Arabidopsis thaliana: one gene and its partner. The protein of the gene in region 2 interacts with the protein of the main gene of each other region in a biochemical or structural test. Each region holds a gene or a part of one and is shown on either strand. Other genes may lie near its edges.

Region 1 (10,927 bases), on a different chromosome or scaffold from region 2:
ATATGAAACGGAAGCTATACCATGCATTCGTTTGAGGAATCTCTCAAACTCTTTGAAGTTTTGAGACTCCATCAGAGTTGGGTTAAGCCTCAGGTAAGTGAAACATGAAAGGTGGCGACCATCAGGATCGGTAAGGGGCTTTGCGTTTTCAAGTATCTTGTTGTAACCTTCTCTGTCATAACAAGGAAGAGCATTTTCACTAGCAACAGGTATACTAGCATCCCAAGCAGCATTCAGCACCTGAAAAAATTAACAATGGAAAGAAAAATTTGGCAAGTTAAGATTTTGGCCTAAACAAATTAAAGCCAATCACTTGTATAAGTTGAAGAAGTTTTGACCTGCCAAACTAGACCTTCTGGATCTGCCAGAGCCTCTGGGAAATCCTCATGTTGATCAAGTGTCCGTAACTCCACACATGTGAAGTTGAGAGCAGCATCATGTTTCTTAAACATTGCAGCTATTGGACCATAGCCATCACGGTTTGAGGAGTTGTAGAAGCCAGCAGTGAGTTCAGCAGCATGACTAGCTGTTTTATACCACCAGTGTATACCTGAGAGCTGATTTCCAAAAATGGATAGACAAACAAATGGTTCTATCAACACAAGCCAGAAAAATATAGTATAATATAGTGCACTAGCCCCATCAATAGAGCTTTGTTTACCTTTGCAGCAATGCAAGTTCCTTCGAAAGCCAAATTTGCCATAGCAAGAACACGATCACCATGGTCAATCAGAACTCTTGAGTACCAATTAAGAAAGAATCTACCATAGTAGCTGTCATAATCGCCTCCATCGCGAAAAAATCCAGTCCCATGTGGTGTTGAATTATAAGTCTCTGTGTTATCAGGTCCTCTGCCCCAAAAGCTGTGGCCTCTTACTTCTGCAGCCTCCTTTAAGCTATTCATCAAATATTTATCATAACACTGCGCAGATAGGACAGCACAGCAGAGAAGATATATCGGTAAGTAAACTAATAAATTAGTTGTCCAAATAGCAATGTAAGATAATAATGTAATTTTGTATACGCTTATGATGCGTCAAAAAGATTACCTGGAATTCACCAATACCAGGGTATTTCCACCCAAATTGTGCAGGGTATGAAGGATACCTCAGCTCCCCACATGGACCTAGTCCAACTTCAATTTCAGGGATGATTTTCTCCTCAAAGAATTCATCAAATTCCACACGAAAGCTTCTCATGTAATCAAAGTAAACCTACATAACAAGTGATTTCATAGAGTCAGTAAACACTTCTTATTACAGATCAACTTCTCATTCTTCCTACTACAACTCGCTGCAGATTACATTCTTCGAATGATAATTTGCTACAGATTTTTTAGCATGGAGTAGTAGAAAGCCATACCTCAAGAGCAGTCCGTCCTCTTAAAACACGTTGCTTGTCAATTCCCCAAGTAAGGCATTCAGTGTTACGCCTGCCAGCACTGTCAGTGAAGTAGATGTCAGGATTGCTTTGACCAATTTCTCTCACCCACTCAGGGATTTGTATATGCACATCATCTCCAACATTGCCTCCACATTCGTGAAACGACATAACAACCTGAAGTCAATTCAAGTCAAGAACACTTTAAAAAGGTTCATCCTCAACTCTGCATATCTTTCACTAAACTGAACTGAGACTCATCGATCAAATAACATTACCTGAATCTTAAGTCCAAGCTCACGAATCATCTGAAAAAGTTTCTTGTAACCACTCCAGTTATAAACCTGTGGTGTATGTGACTCAACAATTCCCCACCAGCAGTCAACCATAACACCATCAACATTAACCGACTTTAAAGTTCTTAACTGATCCAAAAGCTCCTCCGGTTCCACCACTTCCGAGTTCATATCAATCACTCCCAGCTACATCATTCAACAGCCAAATCAACCAAACACACACACAAATCTCTAGCCAACAAAAATAAAATCAAAAGAAGACTCACTGGTAGCATAACATATACAGGAACACACGCTGTGCCAGCAAAATCACGCTCTTCGAAATGCACAATTTCTTCATCAACCTAACAAAACGAAGAGTAAAATTGATTCTGGTCACAAACGAGTGAATCATCCAAATGAAATTCCACACTTACGAGCTGATCAGTAGAATCGTCGTCGTCATCAATTGGAACTCGATCTTCCTCAGTACTCTCTGCTCTCAGTTTCACCTTCGCGAGAACCAAAGGCCTAGCACCGGAAAATGTAGAAACACCACGCCAATCTCCAACGCTGAACGGTAACGAGCTCCGAGCCGATACTCTCGTCGGAGCTCCAAGCTTCACGCTCACTGGAATTACACTATGATTCAACCTAATCGCCATCACTAAACCAAAATTATCTCAAATTCAGTTAAAATTGGATTTTCGTGGAATGTGAAATCAAAAGCCACGTGAAGGCTTATTCATGGGATCCAAGAATCATTGGTTGGTTCAAATCAATTTTGAAATCCTAAAAAAGTTTTCAGGATTCACTCAGATCCGTTGAGTACAAAAGGGTTTTGTCTTTTACCACTTTTTTTCTAATCCACGTGGCGTGACCTGACACGTCAGATAAGTACGCGCGTTGCAACTTTATCAAGGGGCTTTTGTGAATATTACTATGGGCTTTTCAGAATATATTATTGGGCCTGTAAAGTCACGTCACTAAAAAAAGTAGTTTATCTACATCAAATGTGTTTATTATTTAATAACTTTAGTGTGTTGTTGTACTTGCACGAGTGTATATGAATTTAGAATAATACTATCTTAAACAATCGGCTAAGCTATTTATAATCTGTAAGATTGATACTAACGATGTAACATTAATGTATTAATCCGAAGACAGTCGTGCATTGTAGTGGCAAATGTTGTATGTCAGATGTGTCGCGTCTGTAATCAATGCGCTACGTCTCTCTGTCTTAACAAAATCATTGAAGCTTTAAATTTGAATTTCATTATTTTACAATTGCATTTCTCTCGTAAGTCGTAACTTTCATATTCATTTTTTGAAGATTTTTTAAGGATAAAATGTGAATTACTATTACCAAAAGAAACATTGTTATTTACTTTGGGACAGCTTCTAGATATGGACCCCAACAAAAAAAAAAAAAAAAAAAACTGAAACTAATACAAGTCAAGACCCAACTATAGTAACTAGGTTTGGGTGAACCATTGGGACAACAATCTTCCACAACCTTTGCGATATTGTCACGGATGGTTATGTCAATCTGCCACAAAACAATCTTAGGAGAGAACTTGAAGTGTTGTGCAATCTCTCATTTCTTTCTCTCCGAAGAAAGAAAATTGTTGCTTGTATAATGAGAATTAAAGACTTCAAGTTCTCACTCAACTTTAAATTTATCTAACTTTTCTCTTTGTCGTGGTTCATGTCGCTTCTTTTTCATCCTGAATGCAATTTGATATAGGATCCCATTGGTTAGGATTGTATATGTTTTGTAAAATTTAGGGTAATATATAGACTTTTATACTATAATTTTATTATTATATACATTTAAAAAATGTCTAGGGCATCTAAAATTAAATTAATTGTTTCTATGAAAATAGAAAATATAAACACAAACATATGGCTATAATGAGTGTGTTGTGCCAACAGAAATAATTTATAAAATTAAACACAAAGTTTTGTCGTTATGGAAATAAATGTGCATGCAACCACAAGTGGTGCGTTACTAAATTATGTAGGGCTTCGTGGATAGAGATGGATCAATTATTATTTTCACGAGTTTCTTGCCTTCATTTCAGCCAGCTCTCTCCTGATCTTGCCTTCAATTTTATTACTATTTTTTTACTGCCACTTGCTATATTTACTTACTTCGGACAAAATAGTGCTTTGATGGTAAACAAATAACGATCGGTATATGCGATGTCTCGCGATTGATTATCAAACTTGAACAGTAGTGTGTATTTGTTTAATATATAATCTATTAGAGTATCATGGAATTATTCGGGTGAAATGCGCATTTATATCTATCATAGAAACTAGAATCTTCACTATCCAAATAGTATATTCCATTTTCTTGCAACTACGTATAACTACATTCTGTTTGTCATATATTTAAGATCGAGTAACAAAAAATTAATCATCTTCATTGATGTGAGCCAGACAAAGAGTTCAATTTTTTTGGTTGTTAAAGTATGTTGATACTTGATACGTTTACCAAAACACAAAAAAACAATGTAGGTCGATACGTTCCATTTCCACACAACAAGATAGATACAAATATATAATGATTGTAAGACAATAAGACCCCGACATGTCTTAACACGAAAAAAAAAGTAACTAAGTTTATATAAACCAACACAAGTTTAACTAAGAATCTAAGAATCTCTACTTTGTTGATTTCATAAGTGTATTCATCTAAATTAGTTATAAGTACAATGTAATATCAACATGTATTTATATTGTCTCTTGTTGGATATTAACTATCCAAACCAAACCTATAATATGAAATCATCAAAACATTAATCATTATGGTCAAACTATCTCAAGTTGTATTCTTTAAAAAGTGTCACGATAAACTCTAACATCATAGTGGATTTAAGACAACACAAATCCAAAAGAGTTAAAAAGATCGGTCTTAAATTTATGATTCATATCCATGCATGATGTTGGCCAATCACCTAGTATAGTAGTAATAACCAAGCTTTTGACTAAATGAATAGGAGGAAACAAAAAAACTATATTGAATCTTTCTTTTTGCAATATTTTTCAGCATCATCACTAATTTAGAGAATATTTTACCTTGGTTTTCACCAAATAGAATCCAACACTATTACCATATGTATTGTATAAAGATAAGTCACTCCAAAAACCAAGATCATGACCCAAGTCAACCACTCTCTCTCATAATTCAGACACAGTACTCAACTTTAAAGACACTCTTTTAAGACTTTCCATCAGGACCAAGCTGAGAAAGAGAAAGCAATAAAGAAAGAAAGAAAAGGAAATAAAGCTTCAATACCAAACCCTTCTTTAATAAATTTTGCCTTTTGGTTGTCTCCTCTTTATCAATCACTTTGGTTCCATACTTTTAAATTCAGTTCTTCACGATATCTAGATATGTCTTTGACAATGGCTGATGGTGTAGAAGCTGCAGCAGGAAGAAGTAAAAGACAAAACAGCTTATTAAGAAAACAACTTGCTTTAGCTGTAAGAAGTGTTCAATGGAGCTACGCAATCTTCTGGTCGTCTTCACTTACTCAACCTGGGTAAGTATAATCTAATATTCATCATGTACCAAAATTATCAGATCTTGTTGTTCTCATCTTTGCATTTCCATTTTCTCTTCTTTTAAATCTTGGGTTACTTATGAGTACTATGTTCTACTAATTTAGGGTTTTGGAGTGGGGAGAAGGATGTTACAATGGAGATATGAAGAAGAGGAAGAAGAGTTATGAATCTCATTATAAATATGGGTTGCAAAAAAGCAAGGAGCTTCGGAAACTTTATTTGTCTATGCTTGAAGGAGACAGTGGTACTACTGTTAGTACTACTCATGATAATCTCAATGATGATGATGATAATTGTCACAGTACAAGTATGATGCTGTCACCAGATGACCTCTCTGATGAAGAGTGGTACTATTTAGTCTCCATGTCCTATGTCTTCTCTCCTTCACAATGGTTTGTTCTCTCACTCTCTCTCTCTCTTCTCCTATGAATTTGTACACTAAAATATATTAGCTCTTGTGAACTATTCATATAGAAAAACCAATTTGCAATAAAGAAGTAATGAGAAATGTCCTTTCATTTTAAGATGAAACATCCATCACTTTGGGTAAAGAGTTTAGTACCACCAAAACCATTTGGTAAATAGTGGAGTGATTATTCCTTTGGGGTTCCTTTTTGTTACACTTTCACCTTTTGCATTTTAAGTAATCCTAGATTAAGTTTTTTTTTTCTCTTTTATGATCATTAATTATTGTCATTTTGGCTTTTTTGGTTGTTTATGTATATACTTTAGTTTGCCTGGAAGAGCTTCAGCGACGGGTGAGACCATATGGCTCTGCAACGCTCAATATGCGGAGAACAAGCTCTTCTCTCGTTCTTTGTTAGCAAGAGTAAGTTCTCAGAAACTTCTAATTTCCTCTTCTTGAATCTTGATATATCAAGATCGAATCTGACTAAAAATCTCCTTTGATCTTCTTTGCTTTTCATTACTGTTCATATGGCTTCTCTCCTTTAGAGCGCATCAATTCAGGTACGTTATAATGTTTGTTATAACTGGATTCTGATTGTTAGAAATAAAAGTTTAGTTCTCTTATTGTTAGAAATGAAAGTTTAGTTATCTATATATCAATTTGGATAGAAGATTTATAGAATGTATCTGTGTTGTTATCTCCAGACTGTTGTGTGTTTCCCTTACTTGGGCGGAGTCATTGAGCTGGGCGTCACTGAATTGGTAACTCTCCATCTTAATATATAAAGTTTTACTTTTGTTGCTTGCTTCACAAGAATTAAATATACCTTACTTTGTTTAATTTTGTTCATGATCAATGAAAGATTTCAGAAGACCATAACCTGCTTCGAAACATCAAATCTTGCTTGATGGAAATATCTGCACACCAAGACAACGATGACGAGAAGAAGATGGAGATTAAGATCAGTGAAGAGAAGCATCAGCTTCCATTAGGTATTTCTGATGAAGACTTGCATTACAAAAGAACCATTTCAACAGTACTCAACTACTCCGCAGATAGATCAGGTAAGAACGATAAGAACATTCGTCATCGTCAGCCAAATATTGTTACTTCTGAACCTGGCTCAAGTTTCTTGCGGTGGAAGCAATGTGAGCAGCAAGTCTCGGGTTTTGTTCAGAAAAAAAAGTCACAGAATGTGTTGCGGAAGATATTGCATGATGTCCCTTTGATGCACACAAAGAGAATGTTCCCAAGTCAGAACTCTGGTCTGAATCAAGATGATCCTTCAGATAGAAGAAAAGAGAACGAAAAGTTCAGTGTCCTTAGAACTATGGTTCCCACTGTCAACGAGGTAATAACTCTTTTTCTAAATCCTTAGAGACAAGACTGTGTTTCAGAAGCCAACACTCTGTTTTGAATCTTTGTGCAGGTTGATAAAGAATCGATACTAAACAACACAATCAAGTACCTGCAAGAACTGGAGGCAAGAGTAGAAGAGCTAGAATCTTGTATGGGATCAGTTAATTTTGTAGAAAGACAAAGAAAGACGACAGAGAACCTTAACGACTCTGTGTTGATCGAAGAGACATCAGGGAACTACGATGATAGCACGAAGATCGATGACAATTCAGGAGAAACCGAACAAGTCACTGTTTTCAGAGATAAGACACATTTGAGAGTTAAACTCAAAGAAACAGAAGTTGTGATCGAAGTAAGATGTTCTTACAGAGACTACATAGTTGCGGACATCATGGAAACTCTGAGCAATCTTCACATGGATGCTTTCTCTGTTAGATCTCACACGCTCAATAAGTTCCTCACATTGAATCTCAAGGCCAAGGTAAATTAATCTTACTGATGTTTGGAAAAGGCAGATTTGGGTTTTCTTGACTTACACGTAACGTTTTTGGGTTTATGCATGCAGTTTCGCGGGGCTGCAGTTGCGTCCGTAGGAATGATTAAGCGAGAGCTGAGAAGAGTCATTGGTGATTTGTTTTAATGTTCTTCTTAGTAAAAATTCTTATATTTTCTTAAACTTTTGATGAAATGTTATATTTATCTAGACTTTCGTGAACCGATATGCGATGTGCCATTATCTTTACATCAAGTTTTCAGGGTTTTTGTATGTAAAGTTTGCCAAAGTTTGGTTGGAATTTTCGACAACGTTGTCTCTTCCTCTTCTACAAAACCAAGATCTATACTTATTCATAATTCATGGGCGATTTGTATCTTTCATTAATGATTGTTTTGAGCTATTATATTATTTGTATTGATAGAAAAAAATAACCAATTGGCTTTGGCTCAACTTCTTTCCCGTGAAGAGGATGGATCATATACATATCCTATTGTAATTTGAATGAACCCTATTGGGTCAAGGATCATGATCTCATGGGAAAGCTAATGAGCTTTATCCACCTCAAAGCCAATTGGTTACTAATGCTTGAACTAAATCTGTCTTATATACTAGCTAAAATTTCCATATGTTTCCGATGTGGGATTTGTTAAAGTTACTAATGCAATTTTTCTGCCGACATTATCATAATAAGTTGTACCTTAAACCTCAAGTAATTGATTTGGTCCTCATAGGCTATTAGGTTTAGTGGGCTTTTGGGCCGTATTAAACCCGTTTGATTAGAAAAGCTAGCGCTCGCCAAAAGCCCTAAACTTGTCTCGTAGCCTCAACCTCTTGATATTATGCTTCGTTTAGGTCGTCATGTGTGATTCTGTGCTTCAGTTTCTTTCTAAATCCTTAAATAAACGGATTGATATTTACTAAACGGAGGATAATGTAACTTGAAAAGGTATTTATTGAAAACTGTTGATTCTTTCTTGAATGCATAATTAATGGTGTTCTCTTGTAACTCATAGAGCCTCCAAAGAAGTAGTAAATGTTATGGTGCGTTATAAAATTTGATTGTTTCACTTGCATTATATATCTCCAATTGATGCAGCCTTCACGCTAATTACCATACACTACTTCTTAATTTCTTAAAGTCTTTTGAGTATTTGATTTTCTTGGATGTCACATATGAAGAGAGGGATATTGGAAGTATTTCTCATTGATGCTCATGGAATCACACACACAAATTTTATCGGTGATTATGAAAAGACAAAACCTTCTTCATATATGTTATATATCAAACTAAAATCGTTATTTTTAATCATTTTGGTTTGTAGGAACTCCTGTGTATTATGTGCTCTTACAATGTGGGACAAAGGAATACCGTAGCAAAATGTCAAAAGGTTCAAGTTTTGTTACTCTTTAGTAATTTTGTTTTTCCTCTTAGCCAAATGTATATTAGAAAACATTTTTGGCTCTTTTATGAAAAAAGGTGATAATGACAATGCATTGTGGAACCAAAAGTTTGTTTTCGATTTCCCGATGTCTCAATGGAAGAAACTGACCTATATCAAATTAAGAATCTTGGACAAAGAGCTCTTCAATGATGGTGGATTTGTCGGTGAAACCATGTAAGTTTTGCTTGCAGAAACTGAAGTTAATGTGGTTTAGCATTAGCAATATCACATATAGTACCATCCTTTTGTTTGTGACTCTTTTTGGTACAGAATTCATCTCGGAGGCATAATAACCGAAGGGCGTGACAGAGGATACATTGAAATAAAACCAGCTCCATACAATGTTGTTCTTGAGGACGATACTTTTAAAGGTGAACTAAAAGTCGGATTGAGATTCATTGCAACAGTAAGTAACTCGGTAACTATCCTAGAATTTCATGAGAATCTTTGTGGAGACTTATTAATCTTAGGTTCATCTTTTTACTAGTACTTTTTGGTGTTTGAGCACATTGAAATATTCAAGAACATCGACAATAACATATAATCTCAAAATTTCTCAAGAAAATTTATTTATTTTTGTAGGATAAATTGCAGAGGAAAGCATGGGAGCTGAAGATGGAGGCCAAAAACAGTGAAGAACTAATGATTTCTCCAATTCAGAATCTGATGAAACTCCCATTACTAAGGTTTCTGCTCTATTGCTTTCGGAAAACAAAACAATATCAACTAAAAGAGAACTAAAATGATTAAAAGGGTTAGCATCAAAACTCTATTAAATTTTGTTTCCAATAATTTTCTATGGTTCGGGCCTGTCAAGGAAAGCGATGACATTTATTTGATTTCTAAGTTTGTGCAAACATTTTAGGTTTATAGCTGCATGGGCAAGAAGGCAATGTCTCATCAATGCAAAACTACTTTATTGTTTCGTCGACTATAAGAAATGCCTTACTCCTTATTCGTAGCTAGGGTTTCTCGATCAACCCTTTCACGGTATCGTGATGGGCAAGAATACGAAACTGTTGATGACTTTAATCTTTTTCACCTTCAATCTTTTAATGTAATGAATGGTCTACATTTATATCTTTTGATGTAACATTTTTCTTACTTTCATTTAATTTTTCAACCCATATAATTACTAATTTTTTGCTACCTAGTTATATGTATGCATTGTCTATACTCCTTAGTTCACTTTCTATTAACTAAAATTTGTTGAATATGTTAGACATACTTATATTAAGTTTATTTTTAAAATATAAGTATATGGAACATATCTCAACAAGTAAATAAAGGTGTATATGTTGAAACTTATTAATATTGTATAATATCATAGTCCATAGTACACTAAAATAATGACCCATAGATTAAGTAAATGCGTAAAATGCGTGTACAACGAGAAAATGGGACGCACGTCTGTCTAACGCACGAACCATGCAAATATATACTTGTCTTCTCCATTACATTAACTTATCATGTGCTAAACTAAATTATAACTATACAACTCAAATTGAAACCATAATACATTACACTAATATAAATATTAACCTATTATGAGTTGCGGTTCATCGTGTAGGCTACATGGGGATAAGCCAATCTCCAACCATGTGATAATTGGTCTAATTTAATAAACGGTTGACACATAGAATTAAAATAAAATTCCCAATGGAGGTGTTACTATAGACCGACCAAAGATTACTTCTTAAAAATATAAAGGTCAAGGGATGATATATACATTGAACATTCACCCACATCTCATCTTCAATCAAAGATATTTTCATATAATTGAATACATATATGGGGTTCAACAAATTATAATTCTAAATTTACATTAGATGTCTAAATTCGTAAAAGTGAAAAGAAAATATATATAAATTGATCATTGGTCGAATGTGCAATCATCAATAACTAAACATATGTATAATTTCCCATTGGAGCTAATAATTTATTTGTGGGTGTGGAGGGATCCAATAATCAAAATGAAAAATTCTGATTGAAA
Region 2 (10,927 bases):
ATTTAACGAGCAATAAGTCTAATACTAGTAACTCGTATGTATACGTAGGTGGTCCTTGATTGCTGGTCGATTACCTGGTCGGACCGCTAATGATGTCAAGAACTACTGGAACACCCATCTGAGTAAGAAGCATGAACCGTGTTGTAAAACTAAGATAAAAAGGATAAATATTATAACCCCTCCTAATACACCGGCCCAAAAAGTCGATATTTTTTAGCCTCGGCCTCGATTCTTCTCTATAAAAACCGGCTGCAACCATCTCGATGGACAGTCTGAAGTTGGTGTAATTCCTCCATGCCTTGGACTCGACAACGATAATGTTTGTGAAAATAGTATCACATGTAACAAAGATGATGAGAAAGATGATTTTGTGGATAATTTTATGGTTGGAGATAATATATGGTTGGAGCGTTTGCTAGACGAGGGCCAAGAGGTAGATGTGCTGGTTACAGAAGCGGCGGCAACAGAAAAGGAGGGCACTTTGGCGTTTGACGTTGAGCAACTTTGGAATTTGTTCGATGGAGAGACTGTGATCTTTGATTAGTGTTTATAAACGTTTGTGTTCTCTTGTTTGTGAGGTTTCTCTATTTAATTTAGTATCTATTTTCTAAATTAACTAATATCTTATAGTATTTTAGGCAAACCTTATGTTTCCGTTTCTGTGTGAGTTTACATTTTGTAAAAAATAAAAAAATAAGAATATATATATTTTGGAATTTTAGATTTTTATTTGAGATTATTTGCATTTGGAATTTTGGATTTTCATTACTTCATAAGTTTTGGACCAATGGTGTTGTACAATGTATATATCTTTTTGGCAATATACATGCCTAATTTTCTTAACAGCAACCGTTGAACTTGTATCATATATTAGTAACTACAGAGACATTAGATTTTGTAAGTATGCGCTATATAATAATAGATTCTTGTACGTGCATAGTGTTTTGCTATGGGCCAACCGGAGAACGGAAATGGACTTCTGATAGAGTGATTGATATATTGGTGTTTTATATTGAAAGGTCACACACTTACACATGTGTTACAAATTGTTTAAAAGATCTATCAAATTCCAATATGTTCAACGCCGTATATGCAAAATATAATAATCGAGTACATTCAATTCTGGCTTACTTTGATTTCGTGTTGGATCCAATGTTCAAAAAATTGTTAGAATGTAATTAGGTGTTCTGTAGGGACCTAACATGTCTAGAGCAATTTATAGGAGTCTAAACAAGGTCTAGTTAGAAAAATTGTTTAATTTTTTTTTTCTTTCATAAATTGGATAGCAAAACATATAATCTGTACAATATGGATTGCTAAAAACGTTATTTATTTGAATTTGTAATATCTGTTTACACCTAGTTTATATGAAAACTAGTTAGTATAGTTCCATTAGTAAAGTAAAAAAATCGGTACTAACTAAATAATAATGTATAATTTTAATAGTCATGCATCTTAATTATTTTCTTTTCTACGAGGGCTGATCGCGGATCAGTCGATAAGGTTTTTACAAAAAAATAATATTATTTTCTTAATTTCACTTATCTTAAACAATGTCATTAAACCCGTTGGTTTGGCCCATTTGACGATCAATACTTATTTTGAACGCTTAAATAAATAAATTGGAGTGCTTAGAGTCTCATGCGGAATTACTGAAGGCTCATGAGCATTTAGATGGACGTCTAGTCTGAAATTTGTTTGGCACGTATACAGTAGATATTGGTAAACTATTAGATATTCAAAGGACCTGATGATGTATTTGTAGGGTCTAATTGGTTCGGTTCGATTTTCAACTTCATTCAACGCACAACGCATAACTTGCCATTCAACTACTAACCTAAGTTATCTAACCACTAGTCAGATAAAATATAAATTATATTAACAAAAAATATAACTCTTCATTCTTCGGAAAAACTGACCGGTTAGAATGGTTTGAATGAATGACAATTAAACAAGCAAAAAAAATGTTCACCAAAACAGAACAAGCAAAAAACAGTAAGAATGACAATTGTACATTCATTTAGTCAATATTTTTCTAAAACAGAAGTATAGTTTTTGTGAATATCACTTAGAATTCTTTGAGCGCAAGTCATACAACAAAAACATTCAGAAAAGTCATATAATGTTGGCTCAAGTGCTAGCATAGAAAAAGAGAGAGGATGATGTTTAGAGTATATAAAATGCTGTTTTCGGAATATTCTCTGGATATGAAATTATCAGTCTGTTTTACTCAAAATAATAATAATCACAGTCTCTGTCATCTGATATTTGAACGATGTTCAGTTGAAAAGAAATGTCTGTCTATAAAAGCTTTTTTTTTTTTTTTTTGATAATACCTGTCTATTAAAGTTACGGTATATTTCTATAAATTTGAAAATAAACAATTATTGTGTATGATTAGCTTCGTACGTGGGATGAATCCAAAGTGGAAAGTATTGGACCCAAACTGGAGACTTTTATATGAAAATGACTTCACACCTTACCGCTTTTATGAGATTCTGTCTCATTTGTGAAATTGTTTGTGGACAATGGCGCATGCACGTTTCTTTCCCTTTTTGTACCCCAGAGAAAAAAATATCTTCGCTTTATATTTTGAAATATTATATTATTACATATTATGTTAGATAAGTAAGATACAAAAAGTTGAAAATAAACGTTATTAATGATAAATTTAAGAAAACGAGGTTTTTATTGATAAAAAGTAGATTATGATTAAAATAATTATATATAGTGTGAGACACTGAATTTTGGATGTATCATATAAAAATTTTAATTTCGTATTCAGCAATTTATTATCAATAGTAGCATAAATTTAACATGTGTGTTGTGAACGTAAACGTGTTATAGTATTTGGTTCGATTCAAACATGCTTAAGTGTTGAGCAAGAACTATTTTGTCATTTGAGCTTCGGTCTGGATGATTATCTATAATGGATTCTTGGGAAACTCATTGCTTAGGGATCTGCTCACCACATGATCAAAGAGGAACTTATCTGGAACATGTTGACTCATTTTTGATTATATGTATCAATCCAATTTGCTATACACGATTCTCAAAAGAAGAACTAAGCTAAGGTGATTGGTTTTAGTTGTTGTTGGGAATGTGTCACACACTAAAATATAAGAAAATATGTAAAACGGATGAAATAATTTTCAAAAGACATTTTTTTTTTTGTCGAATAATATTAAAAGACCAATTACTGTAATTTAGTCTCAAAGTGATAGATTATCCAAGGAAACTAGTTTTTTTTTTAAGTAGTAAAGGGTTATTTAAAAAAGGTTATAGATCATTCTCGCTTTTTTAGCAAATATATATGTATATTTTTTTGCGCTATAACTTTCTTATAAAAGAAAACTTACTAGTCTTTTCTCTAAGAGAGCTAAAATAATTGTAATAGCCATTGTTGTTAGGGTTTTTGGCAAGGAAAAAACTATCCAAATTATAAAAATATCATTGTCTGCATGTTTATAAAGGATGGTAGTCTTTTCTCTTAGAGAGATAAAATATAACTGTAATTACCTTCAAGTTGCAAATAATAAAAATCAACTCCACGAAATCTAATTTAACCTGCAATATAATCATCGGTCACCACTTTCAATTTTCCAAAATTGTAATAAATATTATATCAAATCAAAACTTTTACAATAAAAAGCCTATTTTTCGAATTTAAGAATACTAATATATGTGACTGTACTAAACTCATTTAAGATGCACGTTATGGTTATGTTGCACATTAAATTCAACTTCCTAAGTTTGATCTGCATTCTTTATAAATTGGGGGGGGGGGTAAACTTGTAGAAAACATTTTTGAAGGATTTTTTTTTTTTTTTTTTTTTTTTTTTTGCATAAAACTCATTTTTCACAGTGAAATCTGCACCACCAAAAGGCAAAAGTTATATATAATTTGCAATGTTAAGGATAGATTACTGTTATTTTTTCTGTATTCATGTCAAAGAAATATGTGCATCATCAAAAATATTTAATCATAGAAAATAATTAAATAATTAAATCAGATGATAAATGTAATCAAATAATATATATTTTTCTTATAAATTTTACGTCCACGCATAGCATTGATTAGAACCTAGTACTATGTGGAAAGTTGTAACTTTTAGTTATTTGGTTTAGCTTGTATGTTACATTGAGAGTTACATATATAGTAGTAACAACTAGTGGAGACCAAAAGAGGTCGACGATGTCGAGACAAAAAAGAATGTGAAAAAGTATAAAATAGAAATGAAAAAAGATTGGCAGATGAAAGGGAGTATCAAATTATTGTGGGAATTGAAGTCGCTTCTATCGGATAACTACACGACTAGGTATTGCTTATGCAAATAAGCTATCTATCACGGCACATGAGTAGCCCAAGATGTTTTACTTCAAGCAGGCTAAGCGATTTATACGCTACATTAAATGGACCACAAGCTTGGGGTTGTATTTCAAATCCAGAAATGAATTGGGCTGGAAGCATGGAAGATATTAGAAGCACAATGGCTATGTGTTTCATGCTTGGAAAATTTGTTCTCTTTGCAACCACGGAAGCAATCGATCATTGCATATTGACATGAAATGTGGATATCAAACATGCACGCTCTTCTTGTACATATATAATAGCTCACATACTCTCATTGTCAAATGTCTTTCAAGGATTTGTGTAAGCCATAGTATGTATACCCTCTTCATCAGCAATTTACTTATAAGTTTTTAAATAATTTGGTTGTGATACTTTTAGTGATTATCTTTGGTTCATGGAGGCTTCTTCGTCCACTGAGTTGAAGAAAGGTACATGGGATGGTGAAGAAGATAGTCTCTGAGGCAGTGCATTGATAAGTATGGAGAAGGCAAATGGCATCAAGTTCCTTTAAGAGCTGGTATATATACTATTGTTGTAAACTATTGAGTCACTTATATTGATTAGACACAAGTTTATATTCCTCACACACAAATCTAATTTATTTACATAATGTAATTATCCAATACAACTTGTTCCAATGCAAGCTTAGATGGTCACCGATTGCCGGTAGATTGCCTGGTCGGATCGCTAATAATGTCAAGAATTACCGGAACACCCATCTCAACAAGAAAGAAGAACCGTGTTGTAAGAGCAGAATGAGAAAGAGGGAAACTACATGTTCAGCTACGTCACCGATCCAAAGACTCAATGTTATAAAGCCTCGAACTCAATTCTATAACGGCCGGCTCAACGGGCAGCCAGAAGTTAGCTCTTTCAAAGTAAGCATTAACAAATATGGTGGTATCAGATTCACATGTAACAATGATAAGACGAAATATGAGTTTGTGAACATTATTTGCAAAATTTTCAGTAAAGAAAAATACTCCAAAAGTTTTTGTAAGAAGGTGCACCCTATTTTTTTTATTTTGTTCTATTTCTCGTGCATGAAATAACTCTTCCTTGTAATCATGAACCCTCTGAGACCAATCATTACTAGTCCTTTCTCCTAATTTTGATAAGAAACGTGTAATTTGTTTTTCTTAAGTACTGGAAAAGGTGCTATGAACTTTTTCTCTAGTCAAATCAAACAATAACTTAGTAAATTAAGCAGAACCGCAAATACATGAAATGTGGATATCAAACATGCACGTCATTTTCCTATGCCCTTCACGTGTATATATATACCTATTCGCTCACATGCTCACATTATCAATAAGTCCTCCCAGGATTTGGGAAGCCACAATAACCCCCTATTCCTCGGCCTTTTTTAAAAAAGTTTTAGAATAATCCGATAAAATACTTTTATATTAATTTTTCTTTGGTCCATGGAGGGTTCGTCCAAAGGGTTGAGGAAAGGTGCATGGACTGCTGAAGAAGATAGTCTCTTGAGGCTATGTATTGATAAGTATGGAGAAGGCAAATGGCATCAAGTTCCTTTGAGAGCTGGTATGTTACACACACAGATATATTCATGACTAAGAATATTCTCTTCTCTATATATAATATTCGGAAATCTTTATTTTACTTTTCTTTTTGTTTTAAGGAGCAAATTATTGATTCATATGCTAGTGTATGGTAAAACAAAAAAAAACAAAAAAAACAACTGGTTATTCAGAATAATTCTTTATGCAGTTTATTTAAACGAAGAGTTTTATATAAATAAAAAAGTTATACTATTTTTTATTTACGTAGCATATATATATATATATATATATATATATATATATATATAGCTTATTCTTCACAAACAAGGAAGATGCTAAGCTCATGTAAAGTTGTTAAACTATTTCACTGGGCTGTCTTCTGGTGAGTGAAGTCAGTGAAAATTTATGAACAAACGGTTACTGTGTTGAAACAGTTTAATCTTTCTATTGGTGTGCTTAGATTCTTCAAGATGAAACATAGAAAATGACCCAAAAGCCGTCTTGGTTGGTATAATTAATGTCAACTATTGGTTATGTAGGGCTAAATCGATGCAGAAAGAGTTGTAGACTAAGATGGTTGAACTATTTGAAGCCAAGTATCAAGAGAGGAAGACTTAGCAATGATGAAGTTGATCTTCTTCTTCGCCTTCATAAGCTTCTAGGAAATAGGTATTGTTTACTTTAATGGTTATTTCAAGAGCCATAAGTTCAACACTAATAACTTATATGTATATTATTTAACAATGTTTAGGTGGTCCTTGATTGCTGGTCGATTGCCTGGTCGGACCGCTAATGATGTCAAAAATTACTGGAACACCCATCTGAGTAAAAAACATGAGTCTTCGTGTTGTAAGTCTAAAATGAAAAAGAAAAACATTATTTCCCCTCCTACAACACCGGTCCAAAAAATCGGTGTTTTTAAGCCTCGACCTCGATCCTTCTCTGTTAACAATGGTTGCAGCCATCTCAATGGTCTGCCAGAAGTTGATTTAATTCCTTCATGCCTTGGACTCAAGAAAAATAATGTTTGTGAAAATAGTATCACATGTAACAAAGATGATGAGAAAGATGATTTTGTGAATAATCTAATGAATGGAGATAATATGTGGTTGGAGAATTTACTGGGGGAAAACCAAGAAGCTGATGCGATTGTTCCTGAAGCGACGACAGCTGAACATGGGGCCACTTTGGCGTTTGACGTTGAGCAACTTTGGAGTCTGTTTGATGGAGAGACTGTTGAACTTGATTAGTGTTTCTCACCGTTTGTTTAAGATTGTGGGTGGCTTTTCTTTCGTATTTTAGTAATGTATTTTTCTGTATGAAGTAAAGAATTTCAGCATTTTAAGAAAAATGGTTATGTTTCTACGTAATAAAAAAAAACGTTATTTATATTTTTCGCAAAGAAAATACAGTATTTTCCTAAATGCAGTATTTTCTAACTAAAGTTAAAGGTGATAATGTTTGTTAAAATATCACTCAACCTAACCATAGAAAATTCAAAAGCATAAGAAAGTTTTAACCATGAAAGATATGTCTTATGGCAAGTAGACATGGTGGAAGGTTGTATGGTAATGTGGTATTTCACAAGCATAAGAAAGTTATAATTAAGATCTGTTTGGTCTAACCGTTAAAATAATAGCTAGTTTAAGTACAGTAGTAAACATAATTATTTAATATTATCTTACAAAAATTATTTGATTGATACAATAATGGAAGCAAGTAGGGTTAGGAAAAATGGATACACTATTCGTTCTGCAACAAATAAATGACAATGTACTATTGTAGTACTTGTAATTGTTTCCCTCCCCCCCCCCCCCCACCACACACACACAGACACACACCACTCTCCTGAATTAATTAGAGTAGTTATATGAAATCATATATTAATTATTGATTATGTTTGCTCAAAACTGTTGACATTTCTACGTTTTTCATGCAAGATTCAATGAAAGACGGCGGAAAAAAGCATGATATATTTAACTCTCAAATATGATATATTTTCTGTTCCTAATTATCCAAGCTTTAAAGTTCTTACAGATTAAGGCCATGAATGTTTTGTTGATTTTGGTGGGTTTTTGGATTCTAAATTTTGGCTTTTGGCTTTTGGTTTTTGATTTTATGAGTTTTTGATTTTGGTGGAGATTTTAGATTTTGCAAAATCTTAAATGGTAACTTTTCTAGTTTTTGATTTTTATATAATTATTATTTAGAAACGTTTTAAAATTATTTATTTTAAAGTTTATTTTTATTTTTCAAAAAAAAAAAAAAAAAAAGAGTTTACGATAGAATTTGTTGAAAATCCCAAAAAAATGGGTTTTGGATTTTAAGAACAAATGACTAGAATCTATAAAAATCTGGATTCCCTATAATTTAGGGAATCAATTTTTTATAAAATCATGAATGGATGAAAAAGTGAATTTTACAAAATTAAAAGCCAAAATCAACTTTAAAAACCAGTACCATTCAAGGCCTAAGAAAAAAGAGAGAAATTTGATCTTAAAAGCATCATTTTGTGATTAATAATTCTTTATAACATTAAATCAATAATATTTAATTATGTTTCATGAAATCTACAATTTGTTTTTTCTGGAAATTTACAATTTATCATCATGAGATTTCCTTCTTTTTCCTCATGTCTATGGACTTCACGTAACAAAAAATTTGCAAGTAAAATCCATTTTCTTTTGGTTGAACTAGTTGCATGGGACAAAAAAAAAGATGCATGGAAACTTTCGCCATTTTTGTATCTATATTCTATGTTCATCGCTCCTCTTAAAAGAATCTTGTCCTTATTGTAAGTTTTGGACCCTCAATGTTGTCATGTATCAATTTAACTCCGTAGCATACGTGTATTCGTGTATCAATGAAGCAATATAGAAATAGCTTACGGAAACGTCTACATCTTTTTGGCTCGACTTGCCAAGTTGTTTTAACCGTAACCGTTGAAATTTTATTATTTAATTAAAATTATTAGAAATTTGATTAGAGTTTTGTAAGTATGTTCGTGTACAATAATACAATTTCGTATACGTGTGTACCGGCAGACGTCATGAATTTTGCTAATATGGGCCAACCCGAGAACATGAAAGGACTTGGTATTGAAAGGTTAGACACGTAGACGTGTTACGATTGAATCTACCAATTCCAACATGTTCAATGTCGTATATGTAAATTGTAAAAACGTAAAAATAAATAAATATATATGCCTTTGAAAGAAAAAAAAGATTGTATCTTTGATTTAAAGTGGATGATTTATTCCGCAAAGAATTTACCCTTCTTGGTTTAGTAATCACTACAATTTCTTCTTCTTAAAACCATAAGTAGCAAGACTCATACGTAAATGGCAATTAACTAAGTTTGATTAATGAATTAAGTACCTAAAACAGTTTTAACTCGAAGAGAAGAGGACAACGGTCCACGCACACTAATCTACCATTCAAGTTTAAGAGCTATAACGAACCTGCCAGTCATATTTCGCATGTATATCTTAAGAAAATACAGTAGATATATTTTCAGTCTTCCCAAATATATATACAAATCTTTACTTTACCACTAAAGAATAACAAATGCACATTCATTAAGTCATTTTTTCAAGACAAGATTATTGATGTGAATATGGGCTTAAATTAATATGCAGTTTTTCATGTTTTATTCCACATTTCAAAACTTAATTTAGCCGAATATATATATATATATATATATATATATATATATATATATTATTTATAATAACTTTATGGTTACATTTGCATGGACTAATGAAACGTTAAAGATAACACGTACCTTTCTTATGTATCTAGCATATTTTAAAATTATAAGTAATTTAGAAAATCTTTTAATGATCAATTAATAGCTAATAATATTTTAATATTTTTGCTATCCTACTAATCTTTTAATGTCAAATTTGCAGTTTAGAATTCTTCAAGCAAACCCTACAACAATAAACTTCCAACTCAAACAAAAGTTGATGCTTACTTCATAAAAATTAATTATTCTGGCTCTAAAAAACATTGCTGGCATTATAATGTTCTGTTTTGAAATCTCTCTAGATATATCATAGAAATGTCGGGAAAAGTCCATTAAAGTATAATCAAGTTCTATCATTTTGAAAGAATACAAAAGATATGATTTCTATCATTTTGAAAGAATAAACAATGATTGTGTATGATTACCTTCTTGGGATGAATCCAAAGTGTGAAAAAATGAACTTGTATATGAAGATGACTCGACTCTTACCGCTTTTATGAGATTGTGTCTCATTTGGAAAATTGTTCGTGGACGATGACCATGCACGTTTCTTTCTCTATTTCTACACAAAAAAAAGCCCTTACTAATTCCTTATCATCAACTGTGTTCTTCACTTATTCTATTTCATAGGAATAGTATAATAATTTTCTTATTACATATTTGAAATATTTTAGCCACTATTAATTATTAGATATTTGAAGTACATAAAAATTGAATATCATTTTATAATGTATATATCTGATTTTCTGTTACAGTAAAAGAAAAATATGTGGAGAAAATGTTGAAAAGTATATCATGGATAATATTCTGCTGATTAATATTTATATACGCTCTATTCGTTAAATACATGGTTACTTGCTTCTTTTTTCTTTTTCTTTTACAATATACATTATACGGATTTAAACTATGATTGTTAAATATATGGTTATGGGATTATGTCCAAACTCTGCAACTTGCAGCCACATTACTCCAATTGTTTTTGTTTTTCCCTTTCCCTTAATTACTTTTGTTGTTTAGCAAATTACTTCTGAAATGTTGGTCATTTAGTACATATTTAAAACTTTAAATGGGTAAATAGTTAATTACTTTTTTTTGATAAATAATAGTTTATGGAAGTCGTACATTACTAGGGATACACAGATTGAGAGTGACACATAGAAGTAAAAACCAAGCTAAGATTGAAAATATCGACGATGTCATAACAAAAATAATTAAAGAACTGACTACATATTATTACCATCTCCACTCACAATCCATTCCCGTGGACACAAAACATCTCGGTCACAGTCTCTTTCAGTCTCTC

Evidence for each region. The genes of interacting proteins can lie anywhere in the genome.
Region 1: the proteins of MYB90 (region 2) and ATMYC1 form a complex in vitro, tested with the Arabidopsis thaliana proteins (one study listed by BioGRID).

What each region holds. Positions count from the first base shown.
Region 1 is NC_003075.7:213,815-224,741, reverse strand, and holds ATMYC1 (basic helix-loop-helix (bHLH) DNA-binding superfamily protein), read left to right. Parts: upstream 1-4,960; 5' UTR 4,961-5,057; coding exon 5,058-5,206; intron 5,207-5,332; coding exon 5,333-5,620; intron 5,621-5,960; coding exon 5,961-6,057; intron 6,058-6,182; coding exon 6,183-6,197; intron 6,198-6,341; coding exon 6,342-6,398; intron 6,399-6,499; coding exon 6,500-6,988; intron 6,989-7,066; coding exon 7,067-7,477; coding exon of another isoform or gene 7,478-7,486; exon of another isoform or gene 7,487-7,508; intron 7,509-7,561; coding exon 7,562-7,622; coding exon of another isoform or gene 7,623-7,636; exon of another isoform or gene 7,637-7,700; coding exon 7,701-7,876; 3' UTR 7,877-7,930; downstream 7,931-10,927. Other genes in the region: BAM2 (beta-amylase 2), read right to left, coding at 21-240, 339-557, 662-922, 1,050-1,214, 1,363-1,557, 1,659-1,862, 1,943-2,020, 2,093-2,320; AT4G00467 (Calcium-dependent lipid-binding (CaLB domain) family protein), read left to right, coding at 8,666-8,732, 8,815-8,880, 8,970-9,108, 9,205-9,340, 9,517-9,620, 9,800-9,896. UniProt on the Arabidopsis thaliana protein: Trancsription activator, when associated with MYB75/PAP1 or MYB90/PAP2.
Region 2 is NC_003070.9:24,758,274-24,769,200, forward strand, and holds MYB90 (myb domain protein 90), read left to right. Parts: upstream 1-5,667; 5' UTR 5,668-5,778; coding exon 5,779-5,899; intron 5,900-6,416; coding exon 6,417-6,546; intron 6,547-6,628; coding exon 6,629-7,127; 3' UTR 7,128-7,268; downstream 7,269-10,927. Other genes in the region: MYB114 (myb domain protein 114), read left to right, coding at 49-217. UniProt on the Arabidopsis thaliana protein: Transcription activator, when associated with BHLH12/MYC1, EGL3, or GL3. Promotes the synthesis of phenylpropanoid-derived compounds such as anthocyanins.